Linked DNA regions of Bombyx mori. The protein of the gene in region 2 interacts with the protein of the main gene of each other region in a pairwise test. Links are inferred from orthologs where the notes say so. Each region holds a gene or a part of one and is shown on either strand. Other genes may lie near its edges.

Region 1 (4,045 bases), on a different chromosome or scaffold from region 2:
AACTCTGTGGGCTGTGTCTATTGGGTAATTTACTCGTCAAGCCCTTGGTCGCAAGCGACGTGTTCGGCGAGGACGATGACCTTTGCTTGAGGTATCTAAAGGCACTGTTAACGGATCGGGACGATCCGTAATGACGCGCTTAAGGCGACGTCGACTGTTTACCATTCGGACCATTCATTAACATTGCTGTGGGCAGATGCTATATTAAATGGCGGTTAATTCTAAATGATTTTATGACCTGGTTACTGAGACCTTTAAGCGATGTCTTATTTTTAATTTATATTCTTATTTTTATGAAAAATGATAATAATATGTAGTGAAACGAAATGAAATGAAGATGATTAATTTGAGATATTAACCAATTGGGATGAAATGACATGATATGGGATGAAACATTATCTTAGTAAAATGGTGGTCATTTACTGAGATTTTTTCAGTAGCCTTTTTGGAGGATCCCGAGAAGTTACGTCCAGAGGCTTTGTTTCATTTTCCCACATTTGTGCACTTTCACAAACATTAAACAGATAATAAACCACCGTTATTACACATTTAAACCTGAAGAAACACTAAATAGACAAAATAAAACAAATCACACAACTTTACTCCTCGCGCTCCCGCCAAAAAGTCAATGGCGGTTAAAGGTAGGGAGAAGCATAGACTAACAAGAAATGAGCATTAGCTGTAGTAACCAGTACGTTATCAGCACCAGTTATAATATATTAATCTGTAATACAACGTAGATCGCAGAAAATACAATCGCTACAAACCAACATCATTAATAAAGCGTTTGTAGAAAATAGTGCATTGAACAATTTTGATTTATTAGTTGGATATAGTCCCTGTTTTCCAATTACAGCACAAGAGCGCATTATGCAGCATAATGCTCAACGTTGAATGTTTCCACTACAGCAACGTTTCGCACAATCGAGCACTCCCAAAAGTAATGCTCTAGCGTGATACTCGCAATCGATACCGACTCGATTGAAACATTAACCATTGAAACATTCAACGTTGAGCATTATGCCGCATAATGCGCTCTTGTGCTGTAATTGGAAAACAGGGAATAGCTTTATTAAATATATTTTTAATAACTTTATTAGTGCTCTTTTAACTCTTGTTACAATCAATCAACAATCATATTATTTTAAAAGACCGGTTTGCATCATAGCCCCTTAATTAAAAAAAATAGGTGGCAACACTAAATAAAGTTTAGTACAGTCACCGATCACCGTTTTTCTGTGATAAAATACTGAATTCATTGACGTTTTCCATGTTAATTCAGTTTCTTAATTTCTATTGTGCTGCGTAATTATGGTGTTTGATTGGAATGACAATTAATCGATTTGAATTTTAAAAAAGAATACCTTTGGAATATTTTGGGACATTTTAGCAAATTTTGTACAATGGCTGCAACGAGAAGACTACAAAAAGTAAAAAATATATTTTGTATTTCATTGATACTTTGGGACGAATATATATTTAAACCACGTATAGTTTTACCCGTAAATTTAACCTAAAAGTTAATTACGAAAGTTTGTTGCTGTACGAATTGTCAAATCTGCTTAAACACTTCATGTAGTAAATCAATCAAATCGAGAGAATGTCACAAACCTAAAATAGTTATTACAACGAGAACAATTTAAAAAAAGTATATTTTCAGCAACTTTCTCCCATTACTGTCATAATACTACACAATAATATTTTTTAGGAACTTAATGACATCAGACAGTCTGGCCTGAAGTCTTTCAGAGACATACAGGTTGATGAGTCCAACATCTTAACATGGCAAGGTCTAATTGTTCCAGTAAGTAACCATTGATTTAGTAGTGAATTTGTAATTTTTTTTTATAGATATTTTAATATATTTACACAAAGAACAATATCAGTAAATTATTGTTTCAATTAAATTTATTCAAAATTATTGTCTCATGTATTCTGATCAGAAAGAAGGGGTATCCCATTATTGTAATGCAAGTGTTCAAGTTCAACCTTTATCAGGGTGTACTTTTAGGTATGGATTTCAATATCTGTATAATGTTAGGTGAGTCATGAGTTATGTGCTAGAACAATTTTGTGTGATAATGTATGTATTTGTAGTCTTTCATGGTCAGATGTATCTAATAAAAAGAATCTTATCATGTAAAACAAACATTTTGATTTAGTTGTCATAGGTAAAAGATCTTGTCTGTTATACACTCCCCAAGTGATATTTTTAATTAATAACTAAATATTCTCTTTTAGGACAACCCACCTTACAACAAAGGTGCTTTCCGCATTGAGATTAACTTTCCAGCAGAATACCCATTCAAACCCCCGAAAATTAGTTTCAAAACAAAGATTTACCACCCTAACATTGATGAAAAGGGTCAGGTGTGCCTGCCCATCATTAGTGCAGAAAATTGGAAGCCTGCTACCAAGACTGATCAAGGTAAAGTAGTGATATGTTAGGTCCATAGAATATCTAAAATATTTAAATAAAAGTGAATATAACATTAAACCCAAAATAAATGTTTGTTACCCCAATCTCAGAGAATGAGGTTTATGCGGAATTACACTACACTACACTAACATCTGGAACAGGAATTCACAAAATGGGCAAGATAACCTCTTTTACAAAACATACTCATGCCTCAGACTACCATTGCCAAATTACTTTAAATACTCTAACTTGCAAAGAAAGGGAAAGCACAGGCTCAGCAAAAGCTGGAATTTGCTAACAACTGCCTGAGTGCCTCTGAAGGAGATCTAACTGCTCCAGGATATGGACCTGTACACTCTTATCAATTTGTTGAGTTTTTTCAAAGTACAATTAGTCATTCTTATAACAAGTTGTGACACATAACACAATTTAAACAGTATTTTGAAAATTTCAAATAAGTACTTCTGTTCATTAATAGAGGTCAATTTTTAGACCTGTTTATACAAAATAAGTTTTTGCTTATGTCACCCCTGGAAAACTGATATTGGCTCTTTTGGAATTCTCTCATCTGTACATTCATTTGTAAATAAATATCTTATTCAGGAACACTACTGTTCAATAATACAAGACAAAGCCTACAGAACCCGGATTTTATTTTTTATTGTTAAGAAACCCTTAGATTCGAAGCTTAAGAAGGTCTTGAACAAAAAAATACTTAAAGTATGGTTTGCCAATATTCAGATAATTATCTAATCTTACAGCCATAGAGTAAGAATAAGATAATGCCTTATTGTACACTTAAATAAAATTACAAAAGTATAGATCAGACAACTGTCAGATAGTGAGAATCAAAAACGATATAATAGTAGATTCTGGTAGGTCTGGCATAGGGCAATTCTGTCGAAGCTACCATCTTACGGAATCCCCGAGGGTCTCTGCAAGTGGATCGCTAGCTTTTTGGGTGAGCGGAGCATCACGGTCGTTGTAGACGTTGACTGCTCTGACCATGACCATTAACGCTGGCGTTCCACAATGTCCGGCCCTCCCCACGCTTATCCTGTATATCAATGACAATTGACGGCATGCATCGCTATGCGGATATCAACACGGGTGATACGCGATATATCGGCCTCAGAGTCTCTCTCGGAGCGTGGTGCAAGAGGGATGTTCAAAACTTGTGTCTGAAGTGGAGAACTTTCTGGGGCGAGTCTCCGAATGGGATGAAAGTCCGAAAGTCAACCCGTTAAAAACACAAGTTTGCGCGTTCACTGCAAAGAAGGACCTCTTTATCATGACGCCTCAATTCCAAGGAGTATCCCTGCAACTTACCTTAGAGTATCGGGATACTTGGGGTCGACATTTCGAGCGATGTCCAATTTCGGAGTCATTTGTTGGGCAAAGCCAAGTTGGCATTAAAATCCTGGGAGTCCTCAACAGAGCGAAGCGGTACTTCACGCCTGGACAGCAAAGACTTTTGTTTTATAAAGCACAAGTCCGGCCTCGCGTGGAGTACTGCTCTCATACCTGGGCCGGGGCTCCGAAATACCAGCTTCTTCCATTTGACTCCCATCAAGAAAAGGGCCGTTCGGTTTGTCGATAAACTCATTCTCACGGATCGTTTGAAAC
Region 2 (4,299 bases):
ATTTTTAATCAGTTTATACTCCAATGAATTTAAAGAAAGTACATACTTATTCTTTTTTTTTTTACTTTCCTAACTTCTCGAACACTGACCAAACAGTATATTGTAAATCGAATTGAAAGATCTACCAGCTAGTATGAGACGCGTTAAATATTTATGAGTTGGAATACTTACCGTCTACCATAACCATCATATCTCATTTCCCACCCAGGAGGCAAAGGCTCCTCAGCAGCATTAGGGTAAGCAGTATTAGCAGATGTTGGCTGTGTTGATGTTGGATCCTGTGTACCAGGCAGGCGTGACTGCTGTGAGGGGCCTGCAGTTTCTGATGATGACTGTGTTGCAGTACTCGGTAAATGTATAGACCCATTGCTCATTGGTGGAGGTCCTGGAGGTGGCTTTAAAAATGAAAAAAATAATTTATACAGAACTAACTTTTTCTTCTTAGTTGTATTGACCATATAAACACTATACTTTGATGGAATGTGCAAAATATATCTTTACTCTTTAATGAAAGTTCTTTACAATCTCAAAACTTTAAAATGTAATTTAAAACTAAAATATAAATAGATCAAAAGATAAACCTTTTTAAAATAGAATGGGAAAGCTTAAATTAGTCATGAACAATTTAATGGAAATTAATAATAATTCATGAATAAATGTTATTACTCAACCAGGCAGCCTTGTTGTAGTAGATGGATTGTTTCTATTTTAAATTTTTTGTATGATACAAATAATAGAAACATCAACTTACTCCAAGTGTTAGTGATCGCATCATGGATCTAACAGTCTCAGGATTGTTGCGCATTCTGATTCTGGCTCGCACCCCTTCATTAAGGGGAGCTGCAGTATTTGCCGTTTCACCAAGTAATTCACGTGTTTGTGTCAACACTCCAGGGTCAATTCTTAAGCCATCTAGAAGCAACACCAGTTCTGCTGTTTTTACCTCAGCATTTCCACTAGTATTCTCTTGAGAAGATGTTTTCATTAAATCTAAAAAAGTGCAAACATTACAACAAGTTTTGTTTTACTTGTTTACTGAATTTATATGAAGCACAATTTCACAAATTTTGAATATTGTAATGTCTTTCTTTTACATTCTTATTATATTGAAAAATTGTACTTATTTTAAAATGAATTCTCAGTGAAGAGAGTTTTATAAGGCTATATTAAATAATCTTCAATTATTCTTAATTTCAACAGAAACTGGTTCAGTTTAACTCACCTAATGTAAGTTCTAAATTCTCACATTTCCCATTACAGTAAAACAAAACTTTTAATAGGTTCACTTTTTTTTCACCAATCACATTGTCTTTCCTAAAGCTATGATAATCTGCAAGACGGAACAGTAATTGCGATTGTGGCGTCACCAAAATAGTAAGATCTTCTTTCCATTTTGGATGCAAGGTGTTCCTTATAACTTCAGTCTTTCTCAATATTTTATCATCAATTATAACTTGCAGGTATGGATTTGGTTTGAACAAGCCTGAATTTTTTATATTTGCTGATTCCACTAAAAATATACAATGTGTGTTAGAAGATTTGATAATTTCATTTAATATCATTTGCAAAAATATTTCAAGATTAATTTTCAATCAGTTTAGATCAAAATGTATTTGAACTTACCTGTTAAGCTCAGTTGATGATATGTGGACACAGAAATTGGAGCAGTGAGTGAAGATATATTTTCATTCATAGTGTATGCTCTTAGTTAAACCTTTTGAATGAAGCATAATATTGTTTTATTTAGGCTGTGGTTTCATCTTAATACTGGACATTTCTGGGAAAGAAAAATAAAATATGGAGTTCTACTTTTCACATTTTATTCAGTATCATGAATAATTGAAGTTAATGTTTTATAAAATTTAAATTAACGGGCTATAGGTGTTAGGAATACTTGTCCCATAAGGCAGTAATTATAGTTTAAAGGTAACATTGATAATGATTTTGTACATTGTATTGAAAATTTAACCATATGTATGAAGTATTGTATGGAATTATTAATTGGTTTGTCCTTATTATTTAGGTTGATGATCAAAATAGAATAAAGTTTAAAATTTTATTACGATTTTAATGGTAATAAGTTTGAAATTAAATGGGCTTCTATGCTGTTTTTTTGTGTGTGAAAAATACTGTAGCAGAACACTGTCATTAATGTTGCTATTACCAAACCAAAAGAAAAATAGTAATTTTTTTTTGCTTCCAATTAACGCTGCTAAATTACCGATCCCGATCTGAAAGCATTTGCCAATAAGTTGATTAAGTGTTTTACTGGACAATTGATTATTATCTGTCAATGACTTAAATAACCAGCTTAAACGAGAAGACACTTATTGTTTATACGTCTTGTAACGATAAACAAACACGAAGTGCACAATACAAACATACCTCCTGAAACAATTATAGTATTAATGTTACACAACAATGAATTATTACCATATGAAGCGAGTTCGTCCGAAGCTAAGAATCCTTCGAATTATCTTATTATCGTATTCTTATCACTGTGAAAGGAAACGTAAATAACGCCACATTCTCTTTATCACATTACTTATTGAAATCTAGCGCAGAAGGCACATAAATACACGTACACGAAAATCTGAATGTATACAGAAAATTTTAGTATTTTTTTAAATTTATTAAATGATATCCTGAGTAAATAATTTTTCACATTCCCTGAAATTAGTCACAGTATGTCACGCACCTGTCACGGTCGATCGATTATATTAATGATGTCCATTAATTTATCTCAACCAATATACCTAGTAATTTCTAATCTACCACGTCCTATCGCAGAGTATGTCTGTACATAATACCTATAAATTAGAGGTTACTGAAGACTATTAAATCGATTTTATACAATTTCCACTAGTTTTCTATATATCAAATTTATCTACTTATACTAAAAAGATAAATAAATAGTGAAACTGACTAATCACTTATGTGACGGAGCATCTTGACCGTAAGTCGAGCACCTACCTATGCCTTACCACCTTTTACTGGTGGTAAGGTGTCCTATGAACCTGCATGGGTAGGTACCACTAGATGCCTATTTCTGCCGTGAAGCAGTTAATTACGTTTTGGTTTGAAGGGTTGACAGCTGCTGTACTGTAAAAACGGAGAGTTAAAACTCATATCTCAAGGTGGGACACGTTGGTACATGCGCTTACGTTGTTGATACATGGCTCCGGTAACGATTTAACAGCAGTTGGGACATGAGTTCGTTTACTGCAACTAGCATAAATCGCAATAAAAAAAAACCTATGGTGGAAGTTTTGGTAAGCTCATTGAACGTGATAAGTTAGGCTAGGACCCAAAGAGGACGCCCGCTGACTATTAACGACGTAACAGGTGACCCTGCTAAGTTCAGTCCTGGGAAGCTCGCACAAACACCGTTATATAATCGTCTTATAAAAGTCGGAGACCAGAATGGAAGACAACGATCACACGTGGGGTAGACCAGGGGCTCTACCAGAGCCCAAGATAGCTCATCACATAACTTGATTCTGTTACGATCAGCTCAAGTTACGGATGATGCCAAAAGTTGAGACTTCGATCTCACGTCTCAAATTGCGAGTTGATGTTCAGCTGATGTCCAGCGTACTTTTTTGTTAATTTTTAACTATTTTGTCTTGCAATGGAAGGACGAGAAGCGAGACAAGCAATACAATGCGTAGTGCAAAAGCAATCCTAAATCTAAAGCGAGAGTAAAATTAGTGTTAGTGTGGTATCAGTGGAATAGATAAATACTAGTGCGTATTATATACTATTGAGTATGGAACCATTTGTGTGTTTGTTTCTCAGAACTGTCAATGAACAACGCTCAAGAGAAAGCTTGCTCATAATTTTATACTATACCGTTAATGTGTACTATTAATAGTGGGTTTTACAGTATATAATGTAATTTCATATTAAACTTTATTTTATAAATGAGCTCGAGATCACAAAACGTAACTAAGGTTCACTAAAACATTTCATATCGGTCATAATTATTATACGTCAAACCTGAAGAAAGACTAAATTAACAAAACAAAACAATTCACACAATTCCACTCCCAGCATTTTCGCCCAAAATTGTTAATTTGGTAAGTTTACTGTGTATCATATCGTAATCTTGACCTCTTAAAAACATTAGTGTCTGAAAAGAATATCTTTGTCTGATTGACACTTAAGCGCCTTATTCACGATCCATCTTGCTGTACGTCCCGCCAAGGCCATGCACGATGCACGATGCAAAAGGATCATGAATAGGCTTGACGTACGTCGATAATTATTATTAATTGTTTGCTGGATTTGCACGACCAA

What was found.
Region 1: the proteins of E3 ubiquitin-protein ligase Su(dx) (region 2) and UBE2L interact in binary tests that used the Caenorhabditis elegans proteins (3 or more experiments, as listed by UniProt). The link is inferred for Bombyx mori from reciprocal best matches to the Caenorhabditis elegans genes wwp-1 and ubc-18.

Annotation. Positions count from the first base shown.
Region 1 is NC_085122.1:5,771,092-5,775,136, forward strand, and holds the start of UBE2L (ubiquitin-conjugating enzyme E2L), read left to right. Parts: upstream 1-1,232; 5' UTR 1,233-1,403; coding exon 1,404-1,430; intron 1,431-1,708; coding exon 1,709-1,804; intron 1,805-2,241; coding exon 2,242-2,428; intron 2,429-4,045. UniProt on the Caenorhabditis elegans protein: Ubiquitin-conjugating enzyme E2. Accepts ubiquitin from the E1 complex and catalyzes its covalent attachment to other proteins. Required for diet restriction-mediated lifespan extension, probably acting as part of a complex with ubiquitin-protein ligase wwp-1.
Region 2 is NC_085110.1:8,433,219-8,437,517, forward strand, and holds the start of E3 ubiquitin-protein ligase Su(dx), read right to left. Parts: upstream 2,809-4,299; 5' UTR 2,699-2,808; exon of another isoform or gene 2,499-2,698; 5' UTR 2,434-2,498; exon of another isoform or gene 2,386-2,433; intron 2,364-2,385; exon of another isoform or gene 2,165-2,363; intron 1,778-2,164; 5' UTR 1,694-1,777; coding exon 1,624-1,693; intron 1,511-1,623; coding exon 1,223-1,510; intron 991-1,222; coding exon 752-990; intron 396-751; coding exon 172-395; intron 1-171. UniProt on the Caenorhabditis elegans protein: E3 ubiquitin-protein ligase which accepts ubiquitin from an E2 ubiquitin-conjugating enzyme in the form of a thioester and then directly transfers the ubiquitin to targeted substrates. Ubiquitinates klf-1.